Notamacropus eugenii: one gene and its partner. The protein of the gene in region 2 binds, or shares a complex with, the protein of the main gene of each other region. Links are inferred from orthologs where the notes say so. Each region holds a gene or a part of one and is shown on either strand. Other genes may lie near its edges.

Region 1 (3,746 bases), on a different chromosome or scaffold from region 2:
TGTTGACTGTCTGTTGCCTGCTTCATCATGTCTAAACTTCTTACCCAAGGATTTTAAGGGCTTCCTTAATCTTACTCTACCCTTAATTATCCAACTTGATTTCACCTGCTTTCTAACATGTGCCCTCCATCCACTCCAGTCAGGTCAAGTCTTTTCAGTGTTTTCCTGAAGGCTGCATGTTGTGGTTATTTTCATTTCTGTACCTTAGTTCATTTATCCTGAGCTACAAATGCCCTCCACCCAGCCTGTCTGCACATCCAATCCCTATACCTCCTTCAAAGCAAAGCTCAAGTCCTGTCTTTTCTAGAAAGACTTTTCTGATTCCCCCACACCAATCTGTTTCTTCTCTAAATGCATTTGGAAACCTGATAATTTAATAAGGTGTTCTTATCTAACTGTCTCATATGTGTTGCTCCTATGTCCTCCACTAGACAGCTGGCCCCCTAAATACAGAAAGTGCATTTTATACAACTTGTGTTTCTCCCATAGCACCTCCTACCTCAGAATCTTTAGAATACTTCTGACTGGGAGTGTCCTCAAAGTTCTTTATTTCCCTAGAGTCTTCCATCTTTTCCCTCTACTCCAGACTCTATTCAGGTATTCCATAGACAGAGCCAGGAATGGTCCCCCAATGTACTGGCATTTGACATCCCAGACTGCTGTGGTTCAACTAGGTTACCCAATCCTTACCGTCAGCTCTAGCTCTTATATCCCTCTGTGCGTGGCTGCTGGCTGGGATCCCTGGGAAAGGAGAACTTGGCTCCACCAAAAGAGCCAGGGGTGCCTGCCCAGTAGCTCCAAAACTGGTGGGTTGCAACTCGCTGGATTGGGGACCCTGCTGGAGGCCATCCCTGCAGCCCTTGTCAGCTTGGGCTTCCAGGCTGCTGGGGTCCAGGCAGAGTCCAAGGGGAAGAGATGGTAGGCTGTGGCTACAGCGAGCACCCTCATCCAGTGCGCCTGCCCCATCCCGATGGGCCTCAGGGATGGGTGAGAACTCCAGGGAGGAGTCGCCAGTGCTCAACCGCAGGGGAGGTGAACCTGAGCCTGCACCTCTTTTTCGGCCCTTGGCCAGTTCAGCAAAGGAGGTGACCCGTCTGGGTGGGGAGCCAGTCCCAGTCAACGAGGAGGGCCCCTCACTCAGACGAACAGGGCAGCTCAGCATGCGCTCCAGGGACCCCAGTCTGTTTGGGGGGCTCCGTTCCAGACTTCGGTCATAGCTACGGGAACGCTGGCGCCCAATGCTGAGGTTGGGAGGAGACACGTTGACATATACTTGTCCCTCTATCAAATCTGGGCCCATCCCAGAACCCACTTCTGCTGGAGAAGTCTTGTCCTTTTGCTCCTCCGTCTGGGCCTCCGGCTTTTGGAATAGGTAGTATTCAGTGGGCTGGCCTGAGACTGGAACAGGACTGCCTTTTGTGTGTTCCTCTGAGCAACTGGTGATGGAGGAGCCAGCAGGGCTGGGGGAGGACTGTGAGGACAGGTCACAGGTGACAAGTTTGTAGTAGTTCTGTGTGGCCACCACAAGGCGGGCTTGGCTCTGGAAGCAGGCGGTGAGGTCAGCTGCAGCTGGGCAGGGCTCACAGTGTGGGCGGTAGGAGTTGCAGTTGGCATCTAGTTCAGGGGAGGATGCATGAGGGCAGCCACAGCCCTCATCTCCACCCCCACTGTCGGGGTGATGGGACTCATAGGACATCTTGGACTCAGCTGGGGAGGGGTGCAGGTCCAGGTAGAAGGCTCCAGGGTCTGAGTGGCTACAGAAGGACGAGTCACTGCAGGACAGAGGGGCGGAATTGAGATTGGCACGGGAGTGACCATGCATCTTGTTGTAGAGGGCACTGAAGGTGACCAATACACCATCTGAGCTGTTGCAGGAAGAATCGCTAACATAGCCCATGGACTGATCGGCCACCTCCGATTGGCTGGATGTGCTGCTGCAACGACAGCGTCGGGATCCTGAGCCTGAACAGCCACAGACTCGGACACCTGGGTTCCTTGGGGATTCATCTAAGCTAAGTTTCCACTCCTGGTCGAAGGTAAAACCAGAGTTGTCACTGGCCCCAGGGCCACCCCCCTCATCCAGCTCCATGGTCTCTGCCTCCAGCTCTGGGGGACAATGATGCCCACGGCTGCACTTCTGTGCTTCTGAACTGCTCAGAGGCTCCTGCTCCTGTCCTTCTATCACTCCAGCTCGACTGCTTGTGGCTCCCCAGGGTTTCCCTGTTCTGGGGCCAAGTGGTGCCAGCTGGAAAGGGGGCTGTCCACTTCCATGTAGGTGAAAGGACTGTTGGGTTAAACTGTCGCAATCTCCATATGCATCTTCTGGCTCACCCTCCTTCATTAGGAAAGGATTATGCCTTTTAGGAACTCCAGGACCTCTCCCATCTCGGCTCCTGCTTTTAGGACCATCCCCAGGCCCAACAGCACCTCCTGAGGCAGGCAGCACTCTACTGTAGAGCAGAGAGTCAGCCTGTGTCAGGTCTCTGTCAGGGTGGCCCAACTCAGGTGGACAGAAGGGGTTGGTCCTTGTACTTCCATTGCCCGCACCTCCACCCCCACAGCACTGCCTGTCAGGAACCTGGCAATGCACCAAGGGAATATGGTGGACGATGAGGGTTTCTCCTGTCAGCTTGGGGGGACTATCCATTCTGGAAAGTTCGGCTGAGGGCATCAATGGCCCCAGACACTGCCCCCGGAGCCCTCTGGGGCAAGACACATCTCATCAGGAAGGCCTGGCACCTGGAGAGACAGAAAAAGAGAGAAAAGGAACCCAATGTCACCTTGCCACAAGTGAGGAGCACACAGAACTTCCCACCATACCTAACATAACCTTCTCTTCTGTACCCCCCAGGATACACAGAACCCTGCCCCATTCTCAGGGACAGAAGATCTGGAAGGATCCTAGGATCATAAGACTTAGAGCTGGAAGGGACTTGAGATCATCTAGTCTAATACTCTCATTTTACAGATGAGGGAACTGAGACCCAGAGATGGGAAGTCTCTAAAGTTACACAGGTAATAAGTCACAGAGTAAAGATTAGAACCAATACAGTTTAATCCCAAACACAGCAGGCTCTGTGCCATCATAGTCTCGAGCTGTCTGTCCCCTGTGTTATCTAAGTCCTAGACTACATCCCAGGGCCTTCTCAACCTGGTTCCCTGAACCAGAACTTAACTCTCTTTAAAGCAGGAGTTTGAACCTGAGGCCTAAGGGGTCTGTGGACAGAAACAGGGAATAAGGGGTAGAGTTCAGACTTGTACTCTTGTTCTCCTTTGCCAAATCTAGAACTTTATTACACCATAAGGGCTTATTCCTGAAAGAATAAAATATGTTGTGGGAGGACCTAGATTCAGTTTTATGTACTTCTTTGAAAATTAATGCAAGCTTACAGGCTTGACCTCTCGAGTTCCAATATGTAATAGAGATTTTTAATATTCATTGTCTAGGAAATTTTGTCCATTTTCTGTTAGTTATTCCAAAAAGAAAAAATGCAGATAAGTCTTCAACAACAAATATTACTGGCTCTAATAGGGAACCAAGAAGCTATGATGGAAAAGTGGACAATAAGAGTATCCTCAAAAATGTTCATCATCTTAGCTTTTGGAACTTAAGCACAATGTCTGAGAGACTAATAATATCACATGTTGTATGTTTATCTTTCAATATTTTTTTCCATCTTCAGTGTTTAGCATGGGCTCTCTTTTAAGAAAACAAAGTGTAGATCTTTTGAAAAATATTCTGATAA
Region 2 (3,746 bases):
GTGAAACCAACTGACCATAGCCCTCACAACTGACATTAGCAGAGCAAGCTTCTGAGACTACACATCTTGGCAGTTGATGCTTTCCTGTGGTTTGAGCAGTTAATCTACACTGCAAATTGAAGGATGGGAGTGGTCAGTGGCCACCATGCCCTGGTAAATCCCAAATGTAGCATTCTTAATTCAGAGTCTAAACTAAGACACCCTCAAAGGAGCAGTACTGCACTTGAGGCATGAAGAGCTTAAGTCTGTGTGGAGGGAATGAGCTCCCTGGTCAGTTAATGCTCCCAGCCCCAACTCTGCAGACAATTTAGGGCCTCTCAGACCAGAATAATGTGTGAAGTTAGGCTACTCACATTCAGCCTCCCCTCCCAAACATGCTCAGGGCTGAGGAGCACCAGAGGCCCCACAACACAAGTCACTACACACAAAGCCAGACCAGAACTTCTCTTACTTCCACTTCCACACACCTTGGCCAGAAAATGTTCATAGACTGTTATATGAGCAAAACTACATAAATCATGACCTAAAGAGGCCTACCACACACCACACACAATGTCAAGAAGTATTGTGGGAAACAAGGTCAAAACTACTTCCTGGACTTTAGAAAGGGGGGGGAATCAGATTTACGAGTCAGCTTTTCATTTTAAGATCTCAAAGTACAACAAGCCTTTCCACTCAAAATCCAGATGTCCTCCTGAGGAACAAGGCCCATAACCACAACAACTGAGTACACTAATTCTTTGGAAAGGGAAATCACCTTCAGTCGTAGAACTCTGCCTTTCCCCATTCCTTTGCCCCATCTGGAACTAAAATATAACCCCTGAAAAGGCATATGGTGCACTGAGTATACAAATAAATTCTAAAGGCCACTCATCTTCAAAAGAAAGGCAGCATAATTATATTCTACTCAGGAAGGAAAAAAGAGAAACCGAGGAAAGGATCCCTCAGCCCCAGCAGCCTCTATCTTTTTAATCCCCTAAACCTCAAAGAGATCTTGCCTTTCACTTTCCAACTGTGCCCATAAAAGCTCACCACTGTTTGACCTATCCAAACCACTGCACCAGCCCATATCCATCCCAACAACCAGGTAGCACTGCTCTCCCGGCTCCCTCCCCACAACAGACTTACTCCCTTGTCCCCTACTGCCTCAGTCTATAACCAATTTTGTTAAATCCTTTCATCCTCCCGGCACCATCCCCAACATAAGCTTTTTATAACACCCAATATGCTCCACTTTCAACCTTGCTTCTGCCACCAATCACATGACAGCCTCTTCCACACTGGGCCCTGACCATCGCCTAGAGCTGCCATGCTCCCAAGCCTCCTCCCCTTTCCTCCTAATCCTCGAACACCTGCCACACTGCCCTCCTCAGCCCTTCTGACCCCGTCACCCCGTGACCCTTTTCACCCTTGGGCTCCCCACCCGAACCACACGAAGGGCCCCTCTGCAGCCCTCAGAGGAACCTGCCCCGCTGAAACAGAAACCCAGCAGGGCTCCATCTCTGCACAAGTGCCCGGGAAAGTGGCTACACTTGGAGCCCGGGGCCTGGGTTCAAATCCCACTCTTGTCACTTGCAAACTGGACAAATCGCTCCTCCCGGCCTCAGTTTCCTGAGTGACTGCATGATCGCTCGGGTCCTTGGTGTGTGGTGCTCAGCCCACCTCCCCTGCTTCCTTTGGGGGAGGGGGGCGAGGAGGGAGGGAGGGAAGGGCGTGGGAAAAGCGCCTTCAGCAAGGTCACAAGTCGGGGACGACCCCCCAGGGCTCTCCTCCCCCCTCCCCATCCACAGCGCCAACACTGGAGCCCCGACAGACACACACACCCCCCTGCTCCCCCCAAATCGTGCCCGATCCTCACCGCGCCCCAATCCCCAATCCCTGCCCGCAGCCTCCCTTTCCGGGCCGGGGTCGCCGCCCCAACGACCCCTGCCCTCTTCCACCCTCCTCTCCGGAAAGGGGTCACGGGCCTCCGCAACCGCTCCCCAACCCGGGGTCACCCGCCCCGCCCCCCAGCCCAGGCCGAGGTCACGGCTTCCCACGGCCTCTGCCCTCCCCTGCGGACGGGGTCACGGGGGCCGGCGCCCCGGCCCCGCTCGGCCGCGCGCCCCTCCCCCGACCGTCCCCTCCCCCGGGCACCGCCCTCCCTCCCTCCCGCCCAGGGGTCCGGGCCCGGCCGCCGCCCTGGCCCCTCGCTCACCGCTGTCGCCGATGATGAGCAGCTTGAAGAGATGGTCGTAGTCCCGGGCCATGGCGGGCGGCGGGCCGGGCCGGGCCAGGCCGGGCGGGCCGGAGAGGAGGGAGGGAGGAAGGGAGGGAGGGAGGGCCGCAGGGCGGGGGCGGGCGGCGGGCGGCGGGCGGGTGGGCCTGGCGAGCCGCGGCAGCTCCGGGCCCCGGCGGATCCACTTCCCGAACAAACAGCCGGAACTGACAGAAACGCCTCCCTCCGCCCCTCGCCCCCCCCGCCCCCACGCCCTCCCTCCTAGCCTCCCGGCTTCCCGCCCCGCCCCGTTCGTCGCCACTGCGCACGCGCCTGCGGCACCGCCCCGCCCTCGCCCACTTCTGCGCACGCGCTCCAGGCACAATCCCGCCCTCACTCGCTTTTGCGCAGGCGCCTGACTTTCCCCCACCCACCCACCCCCACCCTCCTCTCTCGGTCCGTCCGGCTCTGGGCGAACGGACGCCGCCACCGCTGCCGCTAACGCCGCCGCCCCGCCTCCCCCGCTCCCCTCACTCCCTGCGACGGGCTCTGCGCAGCCGCAGCCGCAGCCACCGCCTCTAGGACGGGCTGCTCCGTTACTGCGCATGCGTGACGGGCCCATCGCACCGCCCTCGCGCGGTGCGCAGGCGTGGAGAGGAGGCCTTTCGCGCGCTGCTCTTCCTCCCTTCGGGCTAGTACCCACCTCCGGGCCGAGGCCAGACGCGGTGGCCGCGGGCGGGAAGGGCCGGAGGGCTTCCTCGTGCGCCGATAGCAGGCACCTCTGTAGCTCCTCTCCTCCCTGCAGCGTCCCGGCCACCCCACGAGGTAGGTGCCGCAGTGTCCCCTCTTTGCGGACCCCGAGAGTTTGAGAGGCCGCGGAACCTGGAGTGGGGCCGACCCGTCTGCCGCCGCCCTGGACCGAGGGAGGACTCGAACCCAGCGCTTGCGGCTCCACTTCCTTCCCCTCTCCCCTACCCAGTGTTTCGGAAAGGTGCCGGGTGAGCGGGGGCGAGCCCTGGCTTAGGATCAGCTAGGTAACCTTTATTAAGCGCCTGCTGTATGCAGGAGATGGGACTTTGACTTGGGAGAGCGCCCCTGTCTTCTTTTACTGATTAATTAATAACTGGTTGTTATTGATTATCAGATCTTATTCATTAATTAATGATTGTTAATTACTCAGAAAAAGACGCCGCGGACAGGTCTTTGGCTTAGTAGAGCACCACTGGCTTCTTTTACTAATTACTTAATTAATAACTTATGGATTATCAAATCTTATTAATTAATAAGTGATTGTTAATTAACTAGAAAAAAGAGGCCAAAGACGGTGGGATCTTAGTTCAGAATCAGAGAAAATAGGCTAGAACTGTGAATTCCAGGCCTGCTCTCTGCCCCTGACATGAGTCTGGGCATACCACCAGCTTCAGGGTTGTTACCACCCAGGCCTGAAACTCCCTTTCCCCTGCTCCATGCCTCAGCCAGAGTGGCCTCTCCCGTGGACCATGGCCAGAAGATGCAGGTCCAGCACTGGCCACCCTCCCTCCCTGGGTAA

Evidence for each region.
Region 1: the proteins of RAB35 (region 2) and RUSC2 are in contact, whole or in part, in a crystal structure (PDB 6IF2), measured with the Homo sapiens proteins. The link is inferred for Notamacropus eugenii from reciprocal best matches to the Homo sapiens genes RAB35 and RUSC2. Residues at the interface, in NP_006852.1 of Homo sapiens: Asp4, Tyr5, Leu8, Phe9, Lys10, Ser22, Leu26, Asp30, Ile38, Thr40, Val43, Asp44, Phe45, Lys46, Ile47, Lys58, Gln60, Trp62, Thr76, Arg79, Gly80, His82; in NP_001129471.2 of Homo sapiens: Val997, Lys998, Asn1001, Asp1005, Val1008, Thr1013, Arg1015, Lys1020, Glu1119, Glu1155, Leu1158, Leu1159, Gln1161, Pro1162, Leu1165, Leu1166.

The regions. Positions count from the first base shown.
Region 1 is NC_092872.1:79,101,931-79,105,676, reverse strand, and holds the start of RUSC2 (AP-4 complex accessory subunit RUSC2), read right to left. Parts: upstream 2,672-3,746; coding exon 691-2,671; exon of another isoform or gene 1-690. UniProt on the Homo sapiens protein: Associates with the adapter-like complex 4 (AP-4) and may therefore play a role in vesicular trafficking of proteins at the trans-Golgi network.
Region 2 is NC_092875.1:25,157,510-25,161,255, reverse strand, and holds the start of RAB35 (ras-related protein Rab-35), read right to left. Parts: upstream 2,385-3,746; 5' UTR 2,250-2,384; coding exon 2,198-2,249; intron 1-2,197. UniProt on the Homo sapiens protein: The small GTPases Rab are key regulators of intracellular membrane trafficking, from the formation of transport vesicles to their fusion with membranes.